Cricetulus griseus: one gene and its partner. The protein of the gene in region 1 purifies or fractionates together with the protein of each later gene. This does not show direct contact. Links are inferred from orthologs where the notes say so. Each region holds a gene or a part of one and is shown in the gene's direction. Other genes may lie near its edges.

Region 1 (3,519 bases):
TTCATATCACAAAATGAGAAGTCAGGAGATAGGATAGATATTTGGAAATGCCTGGCATACATTAAACTAGTAGTTTGTTAATTGGGAGTTTATAGTGTATAGATGATCTCTTCTGATAACCCTGTTGACTCCTTCCTGTCAGAGAAAGCTGTGGTGTAGGAGAGGCTTTACTGCACCAAGAGTAGAAACTAGGACCACAGCCTGCCTTCTCAAAAAGCACCTTACACTCAGTAGTGATGCCTATACCCTGCTTTTTACCTTGCAAGACAGGTCCTTGCTTCTCGGTATGAATTTACTATTTCTAAATAGCAGCAAAACCAATGCTTTGACAAAATCAAATGTGTTGATTTTGATAGTGTGGGGATAACTATTTTCATTATCAGTTTACTGTGAAGGGTATATGTTGCTCTCATAGAATAGTCACAACATACAGGAAAGTAACTAGGTTCATGTTTAAGAACTTGGAGACAAACACTGTGGCTGTTGCATTAGAAGAAATTATTTTTGAAATATAACTGAATAATGTTTCCTAAAATGCTGACTTAGCTGTATTATGAAAATTTGCTATGATTTTCATAAATGATTCTGCAATTCTTATTCATAACTTTAAAAGATTAAAATGGTAGTTTATAAGCTGTGAACTAGAATGTCGTTGTTAACAAATAGTTGTTCTTTAAGGATGACCACACTCACTAGCAAATTAAGGCTTGTATCTGGTGGGTTACCCATTAGTGACAGCCTTAACAGAGTCTCAAATTGTCTGGCAAAGCAAGTCTTTGCTTTGTCCTGGCAAACAGATTTCTGTTTATTTTGAAGTAACTGTCCACTTACAGAGAAGTTTTAGGCATAGTGGTAAGTTCCCGAGCCTGCCATTTGACAGTCAGCACTTTGTCCTAGTCATGTTTTCTTACTCTGTCTCACAGACACAGCTGTGTTTGGCCTACTTGTCTGTGTGTGTGTGTGTGTCTGTGTCTGTGTCTGTGTCTGTGTGTGCACATGCCTATGCACATGGGAGCCTGGTGACAGCTTTAGGTGCCACATTCCTTAGATACTGTCCACTTTATGTTTGGAGTCAAGAGTTTCTCTGTGTTTTGGACCTTGCCAAGCTTGCTGGCCAGCTAGCTTCCCTATTGCTTGGACTGCAGGCACCCTGCTATTCTTTTCTTGTGTGGTCTGGCGATCATCTTTAGCCTCTACTGATGCAGGGCAAGCACTGTTGTGACTGAGCTGCCCTGACCTCTATAGTCTCATTGGTTTCCCTTTATACACTAAGATAATGTTTAATGATTAGGATGGTTATGGCAGTCCAAGAAGATGTATCCCAAGTGCCTGGCACATGAGACACTCAATAAACAATATGTTGGTGGTGAATCTGTAACTGGCACATGAGACACTTGGTAAACCATAGTATTGGTGATAGTGTAGTCACAATCATGACCATGATGATGACTTACTTTGAAGTTTATCTACAATTAGTCTAAAGTTTTAAAAATTCTTCTTTCTACTAGAGTTATCCAACTTAGTTATTGAAAAGAGCCTCTGTAGACTTGTTGCTGGTCCTCAGTTTAAGTAGGAAATAACAGTTTTTAACAAGTGAAAATTAAGGCTTCAGTACTATTTTTCTATGATATTAGCCCTCTGTTCTGTTTCAAAGGCTAGGATGTTCATTCAAAAAGTTAAAAACCTAGAAAAAAGGAAGTAAGCTCCTCCCTGCCCACATTCTTCCCTTTCATCCTCTCACTATGTAGCCCAAGCTAACCTGGACTCCATAGCCTCCCAGTGCTGGTTTATAGCTGTGCCTCTGTGTCTGGCTGAAACCACTGCTCTAAACACCTGTCAGTGTTGTGAGCTACAGCTGCTCTGATTTTCTAGCAGTTGCTTTTTTCTTTTAAGTTGATTTCTTTAGCTGGGCTTGGTCAGCTTTGAAAATTCAGTTGTCTTTTTTTGTGTGTGTTCATTTTAGGCTTTTCAGTTTCCATTTGAGACCAAGGTGCCGTCAAGCTCCTTTTAAAAATATATAGCAGTGTGCTGCCAGTCCAGGAGCTGGAGTTCACCCAGTTGCTGCATCTCTCAGAAACTCACACTCCTATCACAAGCAAGATGGTTCTTAATCTATGGTTTCTCCCACAAAGCCTTAGCTCTAAAGTCATGTACTTACTAGCAAACCCTTTACTGTTGCCTACTGCACTGTTCTTTATGAGTCTGATACTCTTTTTTCCTTATGGCTAGTAATAAAGTGAGTTAGTAAGTCCATTAGTTTGAGAATGCTGAGAGTCAAGTTAAGCTCCCACTCTTGGTGACAGAAGACTTTATATGGGGATAAGAGGTCTGCTTTCTGCAAGTTGGAGAATAAATGTTAGCTGATTCACATTGTACCTTAGTTGTCATGCTGTTTGCCTCGTAGATTTGTCTTAGTCATTTGTAGGCAGTCATAAGCATAAGAGACATATATTGTATTCAGTGTACTTTAAAGAGGGCAGCAAAAGCATATTGATGATTTTAGAAACTTTCTACTGAAGTGATTCCTGTGAAGAAAAGAGCTGTTTATATGGAAAAATCCTTCACTGACATATTCCGCTGCCTTTCTTAGTACTCAGTTAAAAAATTGCCACAGTGTGGGTAACATTCATTTTTGCATGCTAGCTTCTTATGGTAGCTACTTAGATGCATGTTACAACACTCATCTTTGTATCCAATTCTCCCAAGGCTTGCATCGAAGCATAAATACAGATATTTTATCTAAGGAAGCAGATGGTGGAAGAAGTCAAGATTTCTCCAACTTTGATGATACTGGGGAAAATAGCTTAGGTGACATGTTCTCACCAGTCAGAGATGGTAAGTGTTCAGGTCAGTGGGTGTGGTGTCTTGGTGCTCTCAGGTGTGGGTCTAAGTCATACAGTGGTTTGTGCATTTTCTCAGTTCCTGAGTGGGATCTTTCCTGTACCCTATATGTGGGAAATTAGCATGCTAATGCAAATGCTGGCTGTTGGACATGGCTCCTAAGATAGTATTTTAATTTCCATAAAGATTGATCCAACCCCTGTCCTGGGGATCCCATCAAGGTCTTCTGTATGTTGGGCAATTGCTGTGTCTGAGCTTAGGTGCCAACAGAATTTCTTAAAGGAGTTTCTACCATTATAAACAATCTTTGACTTGTATCTGCTTCAAATAAACCTCCCTAAAATCTTGGATGCTTGGTATGTAAAAATAAAGATTATTAGTATTTACTTGATAATTTATTCAGTGTTTTCCTGGCTGGGTAATATATTGCCTCTTCTTTTGCACTTGTATATGATAGTTTCATGTGTATATTACATCATCTCTGCCACCACCCTGTAGATGTCACTATTAAAAATAACTGTTGTCACCTTGCTGCATAGACACAGTATGTCATTGTCCAGCTGTGCTTTTTAGTTCTACTGAGGCTCACATTCCTTAATGGAATGGGTTCATTGCTAATAGCAGTATCATCAGTGATCCAGGCAAATATCTAGAGGACAATTTGACAGTTAAATTATT
Region 2 (3,519 bases), on another chromosome or scaffold:
TTTCCTACATGTGATCATAATTGCCCATTTGGATCCCTCAAGGGCTGGGCAGCTCCCTGCTATGTAGCTTAAATAGTGTTGGTAGTTGTCTTGTCTTTCAGGGGCTCCTTTGTCCTGTAACTTCACGCTAGGGTTTCGGTCCTGTCTTGCTTGTATAAAGCAAATCTTCTCCTTTCTACCAACCCCTTACATGTTGAAAAGTTGATCTTACAGCCTACTGCTTTGTTTGTAAATATTTACTAGTGTTATTCCATCTGTTAGCTTTTCGGTTATTGTTTGGGAGGTTACTTAACAGCTCATTTGTTATCATTGTGAACAAACTTCATCCTTTTGGTGTTCTTTGAAGCACAGGACTAGCCATATAGCTCCAGCACAAAGTAGTACTCTGTCAGTGTATCCTGCAAGGAGGACTATATTCCCAAAGTGGTGTTGTTTGAGACAGGGTCTTGCTGTGTTGCTCAGGCTAGTCTTAAATTCTTGAGCTTAAGGATTCTTCCTACCTCAGTCTCTCAAGTAGCTGGTACTGTAGACATTTCTGTCCCTGTCATCTAAGGAACTTTAATGTAGGGTCTTAAGATGAAGAGCACTACCAGTAATTGGGAGAGAGAATGGAAATACAGATTTGATCATTCACAGGCTTTGGGGTTATGTGCATACCCAGAGATTATTCATATAGAAATCAAGAAGTGGGGCTGGAGAGATGGCTCAGTGGTTAAGAGTACTGGCTGCTTTTCCAAGGGACCCAGATTCGATTCCCAGCACCTACATGGTGGGTGGTTCACAACCATCTGTAATTCCAGTTCCTGGGGAATCTGATCACCCTCCTCTAGCCTCAGCATGTACCAGGTATGCATATGGTACATAGACAGAAGTGCAAAGCAAAACACCATAGATACATAGAAAATAAAATAATAAAATATGCCATACATACACAACACACAAAAATAATCCACTCTGTATGAGTTGTGGCCTGTCCTTGTCCATCCATGACTGGGTACATGACCGCAGGGCATTTGCCTGAGAAACTATTGCAGCTGGGGGAAAACACACTTGTCATTTAAGGTCCATGCTGTCCCATCTATTCATCCTCTTCTCTTCTGTCTTCTTTACAGCCTCCCTGGTCACCGAGAGGAGCCCTACCTCACCGAGGCAGGGAGAGATGCCTTTGACAGGTTCTGCCGGCTATGTCATGGAGAGCTGCGGGCCCTCAGTGGGGGTTTACTCCAGGGCCCCAAGCCTGTGCTGGTGGAAGAAAGTGAGCTGGTGAAAGATTCACTGAATGTTCTGCTTGGTGTCGTTTCTGCTACATTTTCTTTTTGTCAGGTGAGAAGGGCTCCCAGCTATTGTGGGACCAACCTTGTATCCAATAGCCTGTACTCTCCTAGCATGCTCAGCATGCTTAGGGTAGGTTAAGGTCTAGTGTCATGAGTAGAAGAGAAGGCCAGCTCTGTGGGTTGATTAAAGGGGCTGGAGTGATGGCTCAGAGGTTAAGAGCACTGACTGCTCTTCCAGAGGTCCTGAGTTCAATTCCTAGCAACCACATGGTGGCTTACAACCATCCCTTATGAGATCTGGTGCCCTCTTCTGGTGTGTAGATATACATGGAAGCAGAATGATGTATATATAATAAATAAATAAAATCTTAAAAAAAAAAATAGCCACAAGTTAGGCCAGCGACAATTAGGCCAATATATAAGTAAATCAATGTTGGAATTCTTGCCAGCACGTGAGAGGCCCTGGCTTCAGTCCCCAGTACTGTAAAACAAAACAAGCATTCCGATTGGATTTTAAGAGTGTTAACTTATAGTAAGGCATGGTTGTGCATGCCTTTAATCTCAGCACTTGGGAGGCAGAGGCAGGCTGATCTCTGAGTTCAAAGCTAGTCTTGTCTAGAGAGTGAGTTTTAGGACAGTCAGGGCTACACAGAGAAACCCTGTCTTGAAAAACAAAAACAAAAACAAAAAAAAAAATCAAAAAGATTCATTCGTTTATTTTTTTATGTGTATGAGTTTCCTGTCTGCATGCATGTGTGTGCATGTGTACCTGGTACCTATGGGGGTCAGGAGAGGGTATTGGATTTCCCTGGAACTGGAGTTACAGATGGTTGTAAACTGCCATGTGGGTTCTGGGAACCTAATCCAGGTGCTCTGCAAGAGCAGTAAGTGCTCTTAACTGCTGAGCCATCTCTCCAGCCCTATTGGTTTTTTCTTAAACTCTCAAAACACATATGGCAGAATTTACTGGTGTACCCTATTAGGAGTTTGTCTACAGACTCAGTGTTCAACTTCTTGTAAGTAGATTTCTATTTTCTTAAGTCAGTTTTGTTACTTTATATGTTTCTAAGAAATTTTACATTTGATTTGGGCTATCTAATTTGACATGTAATTATTTTTGGTGTATGTTCCTAGGGATGGAACCCAGGGCCTGGCACATGCTAGTCAGTGCTCTACCACTGAGCCACATGCCAGTCTAGATTATTTCTTTTTTAATTGCATTTATTAACTTGGGAGGGGGGACAGGGACAGGGATATGTGTCACAGTGTGCATGTAGAGGCCAGAGAACAGCTTTTGGGAGTTGAATCTTTTCTTCTAACATATGAGTCCTTGAAATCAAACTCAGGTGGGTCAGGCTTGGTGGCAAGCAATTTTACCTGCTGTCTTAATTAGGTTTTCTATTGCTGTGATAAAGCACCATGACCACAAGCAACCTGGGGAGGAAAGGGTTTATTTGGCTTACACTTCCAGGTAATGTAGTGTGTCACTGAAGGAAGTCAGGGCAGGAACCTGGAGGCAAGAACTGAAGCATAAGCCATGGAGGAGTGCTGCTCTTACTAGCTTGCTCTCATGGCCTGCACAGCCTGCTTTCTTGTATCACCTAGGACCACCTGCCCAGGGATGCCACTGCCTTCAGTGACCTGGGCCCTCCCACATTAGTCATCAGTCAAGAAGATGCACCACAGGCTTGCCCACAGGCCAATCAGATGGGAACATTTTCTCAGTTGAGGTTCCCTTTTCAACAATGACCTTTGCCTGTGCCAAGTTGACATAAAAACTAACCAGTACACCTGCTGAGCCATATCACTGGCCCAGATTCTTTCTTGTTGCAATTGTTGTTGGGAGTTTTGTTTGTTTGTTTTGCTGCTGTTGATGAAACAGAGTTTCTCTGTGTGACAGTTCTGGATGTCCTGGAACTCATTTTGTAGACCAGGCTGGCCTCTGCACCTTTCTGAGAGAAGAGTCTCACTATGTAGGACAGGTTGGACTCAAGCTCACCATCTACCTGCTTGCTGGGATTACAGGAATGAGCACAATGTCCAGTTTATAATCTCTGTCTCTCTTGCTAGTTTGGGAAGTTTGAACTGTGTTTCTTTTTTGTTGTTGTTACTGTTTTTTTGTTTTGTTTTTGTTTTTTGGAGACTGGGTTTCTCTGTGTAGCTTTGGAGCCTGTCCTGGAACTTGCTCTATAGAGAGGCTGGCCCTGAACTCACGAAGATCCACCTGCCTCTGCTTCCTGAGTGC

Evidence for each region. Proteins that work in one complex are often made in the same cells at the same time.
Region 2: the proteins of Nedd1 (region 1) and Tubgcp6 purify together in Homo sapiens (affinity purification with mass spectrometry; 3 studies listed by BioGRID and IntAct, with this or other methods). This does not show direct contact. The link is inferred for Cricetulus griseus from reciprocal best matches to the Homo sapiens genes NEDD1 and TUBGCP6.

Annotation. Positions count from the first base shown.
Region 1 is NW_023276806.1:158,734,531-158,738,049, reverse strand, and holds part of Nedd1 (protein NEDD1), read left to right. Parts: intron 1-2,706; coding exon 2,707-2,835; intron 2,836-3,519. UniProt on the Homo sapiens protein: Required for mitosis progression. Promotes the nucleation of microtubules from the spindle.
Region 2 is NC_048595.1:385,871,235-385,874,753, reverse strand, and holds part of Tubgcp6 (gamma-tubulin complex component 6), read left to right. Parts: intron 1-1,112; coding exon 1,113-1,323; intron 1,324-3,519. UniProt on the Homo sapiens protein: Component of the gamma-tubulin ring complex (gTuRC) which mediates microtubule nucleation.